3 linked regions of the Coturnix japonica genome follow. The main gene of each other region encodes a partner of the protein of the gene in region 2 in a complex. Links are inferred from orthologs where the notes say so. Each region holds a gene or a part of one and is shown on either strand. Other genes may lie near its edges.

Evidence for each region.
Region 1: IGF2BP1 (region 2) and ELAVL4 share a complex: the UniProt entries of both Homo sapiens proteins name them as parts of the TAU mRNP complex. The link is inferred for Coturnix japonica from reciprocal best matches to the Homo sapiens genes IGF2BP1 and ELAVL4.
Region 3: IGF2BP1 (region 2) and G3BP1 share a complex: the UniProt entries of both Homo sapiens proteins name them as parts of the TAU mRNP complex. The link is inferred for Coturnix japonica from reciprocal best matches to the Homo sapiens genes IGF2BP1 and G3BP1.

What each region holds. Positions count from the first base shown.
Region 1 is NC_029523.1:21,013,995-21,019,462, forward strand, and holds the start of ELAVL4 (ELAV-like protein 4), read left to right. Parts: upstream 1-1,818; 5' UTR 1,819-1,878; coding exon 1,879-1,995; intron 1,996-3,825; exon of another isoform or gene 3,826-4,234; coding exon of another isoform or gene 4,235-4,243; intron 4,244-4,404; exon of another isoform or gene 4,405-4,435; coding exon of another isoform or gene 4,436-4,549; intron 4,550-4,672; exon of another isoform or gene 4,673-4,937; coding exon of another isoform or gene 4,938-4,961; intron 4,962-5,468. UniProt on the Homo sapiens protein: RNA-binding protein that is involved in the post-transcriptional regulation of mRNAs. Plays a role in the regulation of mRNA stability, alternative splicing and translation.
Region 2 is NC_029542.1:3,036,187-3,041,442, forward strand, and holds the start of IGF2BP1 (insulin-like growth factor 2 mRNA-binding protein 1), read right to left. Parts: upstream 3,737-5,256; 5' UTR 3,250-3,736; coding exon 3,075-3,249; intron 2,079-3,074; coding exon 2,018-2,078; intron 1-2,017. UniProt on the Homo sapiens protein: RNA-binding factor that recruits target transcripts to cytoplasmic protein-RNA complexes (mRNPs). This transcript 'caging' into mRNPs allows mRNA transport and transient storage.
Region 3 is NC_029528.1:5,179,046-5,183,865, forward strand, and holds the end of G3BP1 (ras GTPase-activating protein-binding protein 1), read left to right. Parts: intron 1-39; coding exon 40-165; intron 166-247; coding exon 248-378; intron 379-1,557; coding exon 1,558-1,764; 3' UTR 1,765-3,841; downstream 3,842-4,820. UniProt on the Homo sapiens protein: Protein involved in various processes, such as stress granule formation and innate immunity. Plays an essential role in stress granule formation.

The sequences.
Region 1 (5,468 bases), on a different chromosome or scaffold from region 2:
AAGCTTATTTCATGCAAACAGAAATCGATGCAAATAACCTTTCTCCTCATATAAAAGGGATGACTTGAAACTCAATACATATTCAAGAAGGTTAAGTCATTACTGCATCACTTTAATATTAGTTAAAGGCCAACAAAGAAAACCGCTACTCTGTGTGTACTTACTCAGCAAGGATTGCTGTGTATGAAAGAAATAGCAATACTTTGTAGGTGAAAAATCCAAAGAAGCCTTGGTCCGTATCATGCTTTTTTTTTTGTTTAATCACAGAAAATAACCTTTTGGGTTCTGCCTTTGTGCAGGTAGTGGCTGGAAGTTCTCACAGCTGTCTGGCCTGGCCTGCAGAGGCACTTGGTATTTGTTGTTCCTTCTCACACATCTGTTTTGTGCTCCCTTAGTATGTTTTCAAATCCTTTGTTAAGAATCAACTTTTAGTAGTTTGCATAGCACCGAGTGTGAAGGATCCCGATCTCATTCAGGCCTCTGGGTGTTGCTGTAGAGCACAGAGTACATTTGTTTTCTGTAGTAATGGAAGTATTCCTTGAGGTATTTGGCCTTATGGAAGAAGGGGTTGGTGGAAGCTCGCAGACATGGGAATGGGGAGTTTGATAAATGAGGAGATTCGTGCACTGTTAAAGTGTATTCTTCCCATGCATTTTTCAGTCATGTGCTTTGATGCGTGCAACAGTGATTTCATAAATGAATTTAAGCCAAACTACGTCATGGCATTATCTTATCAAGTTGTCTGTGATTTTGCTTGGAGGTATGGTTAGTATTTCCTAACAGACTCTACCCACATGTGAATTATTTACGTGCTGGATGTTGTGTTTTCCTTACGCACTGTCACGCTGAGCTTGATGCTAATTTTGTTCCGCAGTACAGACCATGTCAATGGGTGCGTTTTCCGTTCTAATTACATTTTGTTCTCTGAACTGACTGGGTGTAACCATTTAGTCCTTTTATTTGCTGAATGAAATGCTCCTGTGTAAATTTTAAGTTCCCTTTAAAAAAATAATGGTGAAAGTTTTGGGTTTTTTAAATTATTTGCCCTCCCTGAGAGGGAAGTGCACAGAACAGTGCAAACCATACGTATGTATTTGAATCATATACATGCTTTTTTCCTCCTCCTGCTTGATAAGTGTAGGGGTGTGGGTTCTGCTGTATCACAACCTAAAGCGATTGCAAGAAGAAATGTTTAAGATGGTTACTTGAATTTGTGTACACTGCCCACCTGGTGGTTATGGAGTGAACTGTTACTTTAAAGAATAGTTTAAACAACAGCCATGTTTGGGGCAGGCTAATCTTGCAAAGAGAGCAGTACATATAACAGGAGTCTACTGTGTGATAAGGGGGAAAATTCAGCTCACTGACTAGATGTTTTAATGTGCGAACTCTAGGGAAATAACATATTGACTATTCTGTTGTGCGCAAGAAAATTGAAGAACCCTTTGCAGACAGAGGGCTTGCAAAGGATTCTTTCTGTTTCTCTTAACCAAAATCTGTGGCAAGATGTTTGAAATCAGCAGGACGCTTAATGCTGCTTTGTTAAATAATGAGGTAATATTTTGTCACTTTTTCTGGGCAGCATCTGTTTTTTCTCCTTTTTTTCCTATGTTTATGAAGGCTTCAGATTAATCTTCTGAAAGTAAGAGATTAAAAAAATCGTTCTTTGATTTATTATGGTTTTTTTTTTCCTTTCCTTTCGATGCTTTTGGAGAATTGGGTTGTCTTTTATTTGCGGTTTCAATCGGCTGCTGTTGCCTAGGACATTATGCCACGTAAGGCTTCTAAACTGCACAGAGTAGGTAGTTATTAACGCTGAATTGGCTTCTGGTATAGTCCATCTGGGCTCTGTATGAGAGAGCTTGCTAGCGGCTACTGATGCTAAGATACCCGCAACCTTTGGGATGTATGCGTGGTGGAGAGGGGCTCAGTGATATGAGATCACTTCTTTTAAGGGAAACTGTCATTAATGAGTCAAGAAACTGCTCATTTATGGTAAGGAGAGGGAGGAGGGGGGGTGGGGGGGCTGGGAAACAACCCTGTGATTTCATTTTGATATTGGATAAGCTGTTTAAGACAAGTTTCTATTTTGTGGGGATGGAAGACTGCATTAAAAATATGCTTGCTGGTGGATTCTGGAGGGGCTGTATTGAGAATTTGATGCTTTACGAATGTGCCACAACTGTGATGCCGTGGCCAGGCGCTTACCCTGAGAGATAAATGGTACTATTGGAAAGACGAGAGAATAAGGTTGACTTTTCTTTTCCAACAATAGGATTCTGCCTTTGTCTTTACGGAGGGGAGGCCTCTGAGGACGGTTGAGCGTTTGTTTTAGTGCTCCTCAGAAAGCCTGTGTGTGTGTGGGGGTGTTTGTGGGGAACGCGGTCGGTGTGCGGAGCACCTGGATTTATAGAGAAACGAAAGAGCTGATTTATTTTGTTAGCGGAGCAGTGTTCAATTATTGCTTCAGAAAAATGGCTGAATCGTGTGATATGCAGAAACCAGTTTATAGCAACCAAGTGAGCTCAACTTGGAAAAGACATGAAAAAATAATTTCTGGGTTTTCTTCTCTAATTGTTATTAACCCAGAAGAGACCATAAGTAAAAAAAATTTGCATTACAAATTTAACTTCAGTATTCGGTGTATATTTGCACGTGAATGTATGGTAATAAAGCGGCTCTGTAGCACTGTGATGCCGGTGTGTTTGAGTGGGTCACCTCTATATTTGAGTTGGGAAACGGATCTTCTGTGTGACTTTAATCTCTGCTAGTTTTTACCAAGCTAGAAATGTGCTCAAAAAGATGTATGGGGAGAGAAACCCTCCGCAGCATCCTTACATTGTTCCTATTTTAATTGAATTCAGTACTCATTCCACAGCCAGGCTGTGTGATGTCTCGTACATGCGCTTTTCTCTGTGCTGGGTCGGTTTGGAGCTGGGCTTTGTATCTGACTGTATTTAATACATTGTATTCATGTGTTCGGTGAGCGTGTGTACGACTGTGTACAATGTGAGGTGTACGGCATGTCGGCTCTGAGCTGAGCAGCTCCGAGGGGGCACATTGAGATTGAGAAATAAAGCGTAACTTGTAGAGCAGTGTCTGTCCAGCTGGGTGTTTTCAGAGGTGTGTGTAGTGGTTCGTTCAGAGCTGCCTTTCCTGCTCAGAAGCAGCTCTGTGTGCTCTTAGTGTGGTGCTCACCCACTGCTCCGCTTTCACCCCAGGTTTAGGAGCGCTCCGTTAGTACTGAACTATGAGGGACCATCTTTACTGCCAGGAATGGTGGAATGAGGCGATCCCTGCGTGCGTGTGGAGCTTTGCGCTTTAGTGGGGGTGAAAGCCAACTCCAGGTCAGCTGTGATGAAAGGATGCCGTGCTGGCTCGGCCAACCTGCGAGCAAGGAATCTCAGAATATGGACTAGGGATCTCAGGATGTGGAATGGGGATCTCAGGAATATGGGATAGGGATCTTGGAATATGGGATGGGAATCTCAGAATATGGGATAGGGATCTCAGAATGTGGAATGGGAATCTCAGAATATGGGATAGGAATGCGCTGCTGTGTGACAGCTGTCACTAACCCGCCGCTCTCGGGGCGGTAGATGCGCTGCGTGGGGCGGCTGTTCTGTCAGCGGAGGCCGCGTGTGTTTGCGCTCACGGTGAACTCGGGCACGCTCCGCTCAGCACAATGCCGGCCGAGCGCCGGGCCGCCCCCAGCCCCATGGAGGGGCGTTGCGGTGCGGCCGTTGGGGCGCAGGGGGCAGCAGGCCTCGAGCCCGGCTCCCCTCCGGGCGGCGGTGCTGGGAGGGCCGAGTCGAGGCGGTGAGGGGCCGCGCTGGGCCTTAACGAGCGGCGCGGTTCGGAACCCCGCCCGGTGCCGCTGCGGGCGGAGGTCAGCGGCTCATTAACACCGTCAATCTGGCGGCGGCTCATTTCAATAGCACCTGATGTCGCGACGCCTCCCCGCGCGGCGGCGGCCAATGAGCGCGCGTTCGCCGCTGACAGATGGGGCCATAAATGGGCGCGGCGCGGGGCCGGCGGCAGCAGCGCCAGCAGCGGCAGCGCCAGCAGCGAGCGGGCAGCGCGGCTACACCGCCCGCCCCGCGCCCACAGCGCCCGCTGCCCACACTGTGCTTGGTGGATCTTAACAAATACCAATAAAAGTCAGGTCCCCGAAAACCTTAGCCAGTCTGTAGAAGAGTTGAAGCCTTTCAAGACCCAATATTTGCCATTAAGAATGGTTATGGTAGGTATTGGTAGATTTAAGCTCGGTCGCAGCGGGTGTCTGTAGAGGTAGACGTAGAGGCTGACATAGATTTCCCCAAACGTGCATCGCTCTCCGCCTGTCTCACACGGGGGTGGCTTGCTGTGCTTGTCCATGATCTCTCCCTCTCTCTTCCCTCTCTCTCTCTCTCTCCCTCCCTCCCTTTCATATTTAATGTCTGCGCGTCCTTTAATAAAGGATGTACTCTGGTTGCGAGGTGGCGGCGGTGCGCTCGGAGCGGAGAGCAGCGCTGATGCCGGGCGGTGCGTGGCTTTGTGCGAGCGGGGGGTGCGTGCACGGCGGCGTTCGGAGATGCGAAATCCTCGAGGGGGGGTGGGGGGAAAAAGGAGGGGGGGGGGAGGAGAGGGGAGGACAAAAAAAAAAAGCCTCGAGATTGGTAATTTTCTTTTGGTGGACTGCGCAATAGGTATGGTAATTTTAAAAGCGAGTGATTTATATGAGCTTCGGTAAATGCTGCATATTGTATTTCAAAGAGTTTCCTGTCATGACCTCATAAAAAGAGGAGGAGGCTGTGTGTGTTGCAGCGCCTAGTCTATGTCGATTTTGTTGCATCGCTGGGCAGCCGCGCTGTAAGAAGGAATGTCAGCTTTTACATAACGCTCTCTTTGCTTCCGACTCGGTGAGGGGCTCTGAGGGTCCATCTTGGCGATCCCAGATGGAGTGGAATGGCCTGAAGATGGTAAGTGAGCTCGGCGCCTCGCCCCGCCGCACCGCACCGCGCGGGGCTCTTTGTTCGGGAGCCGCCACCGCGATGGGCAGCGCCGCGTCGGGCCGGGAGCAACGCGGGGGGTGCGGGTGGCCCCGCGTGGGGCCGAGCGTGGGGTGTCAGGTAGTGCGGGGCTGCGGGCTGTGCGCTTTGTGCATCTTTATATATATATATATATATATATATATATATTATTTTTTTTTTTTCTCCTTCTTCTTCCTCCATACCGAGGAGAAGGGAAAAGCCATATTTCTGTGCGCGGATAGTAATTCTATTTTTAGCCCGCACTGGCAGCCGAGGGACCCGAGCCGCGCTCTCCCCCTTTTGTGCTCGCCTTGTGCAAAATGGCACGATCGCATCCCGGGGGCGGGGGGCCGCGCACAATGAACCCCCCGCCCGGTCCCCTCGCCGCCGCCACGGAGAGCGGCCGGGGAAACAAAGCGTCGGTCTTTTCCCTTTCTTACAGGATTGCCTTTGTCT
Region 2 (5,256 bases):
CACTTAATTAACCATATCCTGCTCTGTGTGCCTTTAAACTGGAAAATCCAGTCTTAAAAACAAGCAGTAAGAAGAAAAAAAGGCAACTTCAAAACCGACACGGTGCCATCATTTCAGCCTTTATCCAGGGAGAGGAGAGGAAAGCAAAGCAGGCAGAAAAGTCCACCAACAACCTGCAGAGTTTACAGCTGTGCCACAGTTGCCTTTGCTGATCCAGAAACACAAACTCACATCCCAAAACCGAGGCAAAGAAACTGTAGCAACCGCCCCACCAAGCATCCAGCCACCCCATCACGGCTGATGAAACGATTTCCAGCAAAGCACATGAAGAAAGTCAACAGCAAAAATGGCTCCTGCAGCTTTAAAGGCAGCGGATGGGGCTATGGGGCTCAAACTAAAGCCCCCTCTCGCCCCCAGCCTCAGGATTTAGCAACCAGACGTAATGAACTGCACTTCTCCTGGTTATTAAACCACGCTAACGAACCTTCCCTTTGCTTCCACCCATTGTAAAGTTTCACCCAGCATTTCTTTGAATTACAGACGCCAAAGAAATATTTACATTTCCATTGAATTTCTCCCGGAGTGCTCTTAGCAAAAGTCAGAGGAGGGAAAAGAGGGGAGCAAGGAAATACTCTGAGATCTTCTCTGCTCCCCCAACCCATTGATCACCAAAAGGACTACAAATAATTAAGAAATCGTGATGCATCCCCCTCCCCTTTTTATTTTTTCTGATTTATTTTTGAGCATTATTACGTTACCCTTCGTAGGGTAATTGCCTTTCCAATAACACACTTAGATTCATTGATACTGGAGCCAAAGGGAGATTCTGAGCGTTGTAATGACTGATATCGATCCCCATTTCACAAGGAGGGTCTGGAAAACCCTACAGGGGACATTATTAAATGGAGTTCTGCCTTTAGGGTCGGCTCCACCGCGGGGCATGGCCCCCTGCAAGGAAAGGATTGCTGCCAAACCCCACAGCCTCCCAGTGGGGCCAGGTCTACACAGGCTCCCCAAAGGGGTCCTCAGCCAGCAGAAAAAAAACAAGAGTTTGGGGAAGGAAGAGTTTCCTTCTACACCATGTTGAGCGCCGGGGCGGCCGCCCCATCACGTGGCGGAGCGGCTGCATGGCCCAGCGCGGGCACCAGGCCCTGAGGAGAGCTCACCCAGCTCTAGGGAAGGGATCAAGATCAACCCAAAGACCCCCACACACAACAGTGAATCCCCCCTGGGCCCAGCAGTTCACTGCCTGAACCCTCAGGGCCCTCCAGGCCCAGCGTCCCGCGCGCCCTCAGCAACAAAGGGCCAAGAAGATGGGGAGGGCTGGGTAGGCCGAGCTGGGCCGCAACGCCTGGGGAAAGCATGAAGAAATGGGGTTCCAGCCCTAAAAAACAACAAGTTGAGGGGCAACAAGGAGCTAAACCAGCACCCCACACAGCCGGGCTGAAAACCTCACACCAACACGCAACCAGCCCCATTTTTATTTAATTACTGATGTTCGTTTTTAAACCCTCGCCCTCCATCCCAGGCAAATTTCACCCGTAAATGACAAAATAAGCAAAGAGGGTGTTTAAAAACTTGGAAATAACAAAAGGTTTTGGGGTCCTTCTCATGGAGCAACACTGGGAAATTCTTCCAGTGCCACAAGTTTGAAAATTCCAACCCCAAACGCCATTCATCACTTGGGTGAATGGAAGGCGAATCGTCGGGACCCAGGGTTGTTTTTTGGGGTTGTTGGTCTTATTTTTTCCTAACAAACAAACTGAAGCAAAACTTAATCCCAAAGAAAAGTTTCCTTTAAAAATACACTAAAGATACGAAAGGGAACGCTGATCCTCAGAGCCGTTCCTCACCTCGCTGGGCCATACCCAAAGCCAAACCACCACCATATCTCCTTCCACATGCACATATTTGGATATAATTTTTTTGCCTCCTTCCTCTTACGTTATTATTTCCCCCTCCTCCCCCCCTCCAAAAAATAAAACATAAAGAAAAAGTAATTAAAACACCGTATTACCTTTGCTTTTTAGGTACTGAGTGTTCAATCTCTAGCTGTTTTCCATGCAGCTCCACTTTCCCTAAAAACAAAATGTGGCTGTTTTGTATGATCTGGGTGGGGTGGTCAGAAAGCTTTGGGTAACATTCTATCATGTAAAACTTCCCATTTCATTCCAATCACTACAAGCTGCATTAAAAAAGGCTTTTTCGTGTGTGCGTGTGATCATAAGTGTGCTATATTAAATATAAGGCTGACTTCTAATGCGGAGCAATGAGTTCGCCGTCTGAACAATGTTCCTTAGGAATATTTAATCCCGTCCTTCATTCAGCTCTGCTCCGAGCGAAAGAAAACGAGGCAGAATATATTGAGATCAATTTTTTTTTCCCCCCTCGAATTCCACGCGTTTGAGCCGTTCACAACAACTCCGGCCAGATCATTCCTCATCCCCATTAAAAAGGGGCTCAAAAATTGTTTAACTCCACGCTACGAATGGATTTCTCTTGGAAAATGGGGGCGGATTTCCACACCGCCGGTTTATATATTAATTGGGGGGGGGAGGGAAGGGAAAAGAAGAGGGGAGCAGCAATGGGGAGAGCCCGGAGGGAGCAGCTTTAGGCGAGGGGAAAATATTCCAACGTTTTCAAAAATTCACTGTTTCCCGGGGAGCTTTTCTTTCCACCCCCCCCCTTCCTTCCCTTCCCACTCTCCCCCCCCTCCGTCTTGCGAGCAGCATGGCGACCTTCGCGCTCCTCTGCGCATCACATGCCCCAGGAAACCCAGTTTGAAATCAAAATGGCCAAAGTCCCACCCCACTGTCGCGACGGGACCCCCGCATCGAACACCACCGGGACGGGCACCGTGTAACCCCCACGAAGCCATTGGGAACAGTGGGGACCCCTCTCCTTCTCTCCCCCCTCCAAGTGCTCGCTGTTAATGGGGTAGAAGCGGGGTCTGCCCCGCTCGCTGATACAAACCCCGACGGAGCGTAACGGCCCGAACCCCCCCCTATTCCCCACCCGAATCCCGACCGGATCCCGCAACTCTCCGATCGAAAGAACCGAAGGACACCGCTTACCCGAAAAAGTTTCGATGGCTTTCATGGCCCATTGCTCGTCGGGGCAGTCCACAAAGGCATAACCGGACTTAACCAAAAACTGCCCGCTGAAAGAAATCTTATGGTCGTTGAAGACTTTTTCCAAGTCGGCCGGAGTCACGCTCTCATTTAGGTTCCCAATATACAGCTTGTTCATGGTGGCTGCCGGCGGGGGGCGGCGGGCGGGCGGTGGCGGCGCGCCGGGGCTCGGAGCGCGGCTGCCGGGGGGGCTCCCACCGTACGCCCGCACCGTCGGACAGCAGCCGCCGTCTGCCACCCCACAGCCGGGTTTGAAGCTCGGTGGTCCTTTTCTTTGCACACTCCCTCCCCCCTCCTTTGCTTTTTTTTTTGTTTCGGGGTGGGGTTTTTTTTGTTTTTTTTTTTTTTTTTTTTTTTTTTGGTCGTTTGGTGGAGTTTTCCTCGTAGAGGGGCGCGGCGGCGGCTGCTGCTGTTAGAGGTGGGGGGTCCTAAAGAAGAGGGGGGTGGCTGCAATAGGCGACGGCTGCGGGGAAGGAGGCGGTGGCGGCGCCGGCTGCGGGGGCCCCCAAAGCGGCGGAGCGGCACCGGAGTGTCACCGGACGCCTTTGGGCAGCCGGGCACCGCCTCTAAATAAAACCGACCTGGAAAATGAGTGAAAATGTTTGCGGGAGGAAGCCACGTGGTGATGCAGGAGGGCCCAGCCCCCGGGGGGGAGGGGCCGGACGATGGGGGTGGGAGGGAAGGGGAGGGGGGGGGGAGGGGGCAGCTTCCACTTAATTATTTATTTTAATTTAAATACTACGTTATTTACCTCCACACATACACACACACACACCCCTCTTCGGATCGGGGAGCGCACCCACTCCGTGTTCTCTTCACTACCACCACCACCATCCCCCCCTTCTCATCACCCCCCCACTCCACCCTTCGGGCCCCGCCCGTCCCGTCCCGTCGGAGGCACTTTCCCATCTGTGCAGCCTCCAGCCCCCATCGCGCCCCTCCCCCTACATCTCTCCCATCCCCCACCCCCCCTTCCCCCCGGTGCCTGAATGGGATTTTTCTGGGTGTAAAAAAAAAAAAAGAAAAAAAAAGAAAATAAAAAAAGAAAGAAAAAAAGAAGAAGAAGAAAAAAAAAATCCAACTTCAGCATCAAAGGGGCCGGGAGGTCCCCTGGCGCCAGGGGAGCGGGGCTGCAGGGGAACGGCCCGACCCGGCGGGGTGAGCGGAGGAGCCCCCGGGGAGGGCTATTGTCCCCGGTATTGTTTTAAGCCCTTCATGTGCAGCCCTGCGGAAGCCTTCGGGGAAGGGGGAAGGCTCCTCCTGGCACAAAAGGGCCCCACGGTGCAGCGGGATCGCTCCCCCCGAGACACAGGGGGGGGGGGGGGGGGGGAGACGACGCGTCCCGTCGGCAGAGAGAAGCAGCCCCCCATCCCCCCCGTCCCTAGAAACCCTCCCTCCTCTTTCCCTCTTCGCCTTTTCTGGAGGCTTTTTATTTTTAGGTTCGAGATGGATTGAAAATAGCAGCGACCCCCCCCCCCCCCATCACCACCACCACCCCCCAACCGGCACCACCCACCCGGCCGCCTTCCTGCTGCCTCCCCCGACGGGGCGGGCGGGGGGACCCCGGTGCTCCGGGGGCTCGGTGCGGGCGGCTGCCGGGTGCGGAGGGGCGGGGGCGGCCGTGACTCCCTCCCGTGCATGTAGAGGCACGGGCCGGCCCCTCCGTGCCTGCAATTAAATGTAACGCGCTCCTGCCTGCCTTGCCCGCCGGGCCGGAGGTTCCGCTTTCCCCCGTCCCCCCGATCAAAAAAAATAAAATAAAATAAATTAGAAAAAAAAATTTAAAAAATATATTTTAAAAACGAATGAATTTCCCGATTTAAATAATAATTTTTCCTCCATAGAAAGAAGCGTTCCGGGATCGTTTAAACCGAGCAATATACAAGCATTGTGCCCCCCCCCCCTTCCCCATACCCCACCCGGGATGGCACAGCGCTATAGTGCGGTCGGGACGAACCCCCCCCTCCTTTCCCGCAGTGCTGAGCTGTTCTTCGGGTTCTCATCGTCCATCTCTCCTCTATGGCAAAGCTGGGAGGAAGAGCCACGTGGAGAATTTGTTAGTAAATAAATTTGGTGGTAGAATTCGAGTGTAAAGCTTTAGAAATAGGCGCTGCTACCCAGGGGT
Region 3 (4,820 bases), on a different chromosome or scaffold from region 2:
GGGAACTGTCTTTCCTTAAACTTTACTCTTATGTTCAAGTTCGTGAGGGTGAACAAGGTGATGTGGAAACAAGACGGATTGTGAGGTACCCGGACAGTCACCAGCTCTTTGTTGGGAACCTTCCCCATGATGTGGATAAAAGTGAACTAAAAGACTTTTTCCAAAGTAAGTTGGTAGTTCTACTCCTTAAAATTTGTGGTTGCAGCCATTGGTGTGATCAACAGGACATTCTAATGTATGACCCAAGAACTTGGCTCTTCTCTTGCAGGCTATGGCAATGTGGTTGAACTGCGCATCAACAGTGGTGGGAAGCTCCCCAATTTTGGATTTGTGGTGTTTGATGATCCTGAGCCAGTTCAGAAGATCCTTAGCAACAGGGTAAATAAACTTTCAGTCAGGCTTGTTGCTCTGTTAATAACATGCAGTGTTTTTCAAGGTGCTTCCAACACAAAAAGGTACAGTCTGGTCCTGTGCACAAGTAATATCTTTACTTATTCAGTTGTTGACAGAAGGGGTTGAGAGGGAGAAACTATACTAATGTACAGGTTGAAAAGAGTTCCTTGTAACAAAGGAAAAGTACCTGCATAGTTTATCAGCAGTGATTGTTCATGGAAGATGTGCCTCCCTTGAGTGTGTATGGCATGGTGGTAGGCAGTGAATCTGGATGCATCTAAACTGTGCCATGTGCTCCCTTGCAGCATGGTTTTTCAGCAGGTAGTGGCATCCTTTCTTTAATACTGTATTGTCCCCTCTATTTCTGGCCTTAAATTGAAAGGTAGCTTATCATAGAATGGCTTAGATTGGGAGGAACCTTTAAAGATCATTTAGTTCCATCCTCCTTGCTGTGGATGGCAATTGCTTGTTCTAACTGGAGCCAGAAAGTGGATGCTGAATTCTTAGATGTGGAATGTGTAATAGGCTTTCAGTACTTACTCATTTAGGGTATCTTTCATGCAGGCTCATGTAAATGCTTAAGTAATAGTGATTGGACATGCTTTTCTAAAATTCAATTGTTTTAAAAATACCTGTTTAAACCTTTGAAAGCAATTTTACGTGCCTCCTACTTTGCTTTGAGGAGCACTAAATCCTTTTGCTTTGCAAGGAGACCCAGTGCTTTGGGCAAAAATGTGTCCTGAAACAGTAGACCAAAGTGAAGGTCTTCACTGGCTTGCATAGCAATGTGTTAGAGAGGGCCTGCCATTCTTCAAGCCATAGGATAAAGCTGTTTGGGACTCTGGTGACAGACTGAATTGGTGTGTATTAGTGGGATCAGGTTACCCTGCTAGTAGGTCAGGTTTTTTTTAAGAGGTATTGGAATTCTCAGCATTATCCTTTCTATCACATTTTCAAAAGTGTCACTTTTACACATCTCCAGCCACTTTTCATCTTCTATAGCCAAGCACGAAACAAGTTATATAGTTTGACCACAGATATATTCTAAGTTATGAATGCTTTTCTTTCCTTGGATGGGAAGAAGAGGATAAGAGGAGGTCGCAGAAATCTGCCTGACTTTTGGAGCCTGAATTCTTAACAAGAATATTTTCTCTTCTGTTACAGCCCATCATGTTCAGGGGAGAGGTGCGCTTGAATGTGGAAGAGAAGAAAACAAGAGCTGCCAGGGAGGGTGACCGCAGAGATAACAGACCACGCGGACCTGGAGGCACTCGCGGGGGGCTGGGAGGTGGGATTCGAGGGCCTCCACGTGGAGGAATGTCCCAGAAGCCAGGATTTGGAGCTGGAAGGGGGATCGGGCAACGCCAGTGAATGCATCGTGGATGTTGACACGGTGGTGCAAACCCTTTTTACCTGCAGATTTGTGAATTTCAGCCTTGGGTATCTTGGAATGTGGCCCTAGCCTGTTATAGACTGCTACGTTTGATACTATTTTGGCCCCTTTTTGTTTGTGTTATGGTTTTGTGATTGATTTATTTTTTTCTAGTCCTTGTCCCAGATTCCAGCTTTGTGGAACAACGCTTTAGGAAAAGTGGATTTTAAAAACAAAAAAGAAAAGAACTGAATTTTCTTGCTCACCTCAAACTTACGGACTGGATTTTTTTGGTACCAGTGGTCTTTCCTAGAAGAACGTCTTTGTTTTCTTTTTTTTTTTTTCCTCCCCTCTCTACTGAATTTGGGTGCATTTCAGTCAGTGGAATAATATTTCACATGCATGCGTTCAAGAGCCTATAGGAAAACATAGTACTTGGCAAGTATTTCAAGGTCAGGAAAATAAAACTTTGATTTATCCCTTGAGGGTCATACGAACATCATCTGATCTGGAGTTGTTGCCACCCTGAAAATTGACGTTCACCTTTTCTCTTTGTGGCGCTGTAAGAGAGAGAAAAAAAAAAGTGGAATAATGAGTATCCATAGAATCTTGTCTTTCTTTTTTTGATACATGATCACGGAAAAGAATTCTAACTGCTGTTTTACCACTTTGGAAAAATTTTGGATTGTGGGATAGGTTTTAAATGTTTAGAACTTGACTCTCAAAACACTTTTCCTGAACTTGTGGAATTTTTTTATTGAAATAGGGAGGTTTTTTTTCATGTTTAGTTTGTATTTGTATAAAAAAAAAAAAGCAAAATTGTTGTGCCTTCTATTTATCTCTCATTCCAGTCTTGGCAAATTGTTTAAAAAAAAAATAATAAAAAAGGTCTAGATTTGCTTTATCAAGTCAAGAGTACGCTGGAGTTCTTCCATGGGGAAGATGTACCTTCCTTCTGTTGCTAGGTTTGCAGGTAGAGGTGGTTATAGCTCAAGTCTGTAATGCTGTCTGTTCTTCTTCAGTTTGATGGTGTTTGAGTAATCAAAACCAAGTATTTCATGGATGCAGAGTTTGGGAATTTTGCTTTTGAGGCTGGGCAGTTTCCATCACTGATGTTATAGAAGTACTTCTGTCATGTTCTCCACGTTTCTCTCTACTGTGATAGTTTTGCCATTTAGGCATTAATTTAATTCCCTGCTTCTGCCAGACCTGATAGATGGCATAAGCACAGAAGGTGCCTCTCTGTCCTGGATTACTACATGGAACACTCTCCAGCACTCCTAAAGAAGCTGAAGCTGATTTAAAAAATAAATATAAATTATGGGGATTTTAGGATCAAAACAGCACTATATTTCTGTGTAAATATCTGGATAGCAATGGCAGTCTTGAGTTTACACCAGGCCTCAGCATTCTTGGTTATATACAAGAACTATGTAGTAAGCTTCTTTATCTGTGCTAGGGTTTACTGTTTCCATGTTTCTTTGGTTTATTGATATAACCTCTGTGCAAATGCAGTACAGACTTCTTGTGCTTTGCTTGCTCTAAAGCTAGAGCAAACCTGCCCTACTGCGAAGGGTGGGTAGGTATTACCTGTTACAGAGCAGTAACTTACTGTCACTTACTTGCCAAACATAGTGGTTGAACCTGGCTGTACTGAATGTCAGTAGTTGGGTTTTGTTCTGTTTTGGCTTCGTCTTTAGTGTTGCGTCATTTCCCTCCTGAATGTTTCTCAGATGTCTCTATGAAGTGGAGGAGAGCTGAAATGAAACAGCAGTAGCTGTTTGTGTGTGCCCTCTCCCAGGCAGAAGTGCTAGAAATGCATACTGCTTCCTCTTGTGGTCATAACTGGTATTTATTTTCCTTTGTGGGGGGGAGGAAAGAAGAAACAGCTTTTCTCATTAGGAGCAGCCATCGAGTGAAGGTGTGCGACAGAACTGTTTCACTGAACTGTCCTTGTTTGTGTTAATTCTCATATGTTGTTTCTGGTGTTCTTGATGTTAAATCCAAGACTGCAGTCACAGGTTGCACTTCCCAGCTGTGGAGGTGTTGTTAATAAAAGTTTCCATTGCTCTTAAATCTGTGAAAGCATCCATAAACGTGGGGGAAAAAAACCCAACTTTTGTGTAGTTTTGGAGTCAGACAATTCTGGCTCACTTTCATCTAAGCTGAGAACTGACTGAGGAATGTCAGTGAAGAACTGAAGCCTGTGAAGTGTATGCTTGGTTTTGTGTTAATGATACTGGCTATGTTAAACAGTAAGACCCGGAGAGTGATCTTGTCAGGTGACAGGTGAAATAAAAGATTTACAGAAACCTTTTTCTTGGGTATCTTGTACAGAAACACTTCTCAGAAGCAAGTTATGCTGCCAGCACCTGAAATGGAACATGGGGTGACACTTCAGGATGTCTTTATGGTTGTGTTTTTGTGCTTACCAAATAACCAACTATGCTGGAAAGACCTATGAGACTTCATATTGGCTTTTTTTGTTTAAAGCTCAGTAGCCTCATGCTCTTCTGGTTTGTGCACTGACTGTGCTGTTGGAAACGCTATCTGTTTTCTGAAGTCTTCAATTCATTGTGTGTTTTAATGGTGAAGGTGTGATTGGTTGTCTCTGACTGCACTTAGGCTGGGATACCTACAGCAAAGGTAACGTCTGATGTTTAAATTCCAGAAGCTCTTTTTGGATAGAAAATGCCACAAGGAGATTTCAATTGAGCAGAACCCCCACATTTCCCTGTTGGAACCTCTGGTTTAATCTGAATGGTGAAGATTATGAGTTGGTCCCAGCAGCTTCTGATTCCGCATCTGACAATCTTCTCAATCAAAGTGTATTTTTAGTTCTTTCTTTACGTGCTGCCTGAGGCGAAGAGCGAATGACACACTGGCAGTTTCCCTAATTACTTCCTGCTAAAGCATGCGCAAATTATCTCCGTGATTATTTCATTTCCATGCAGTGCCATTCTTCCCTTGGCTGGTAATGTGGAAGAACAACTCTCTTAAGATCCTGATAATCTTGTTTGCATGTTGTGTGGGAGGTGGTTTAAAGGGTGTGTGA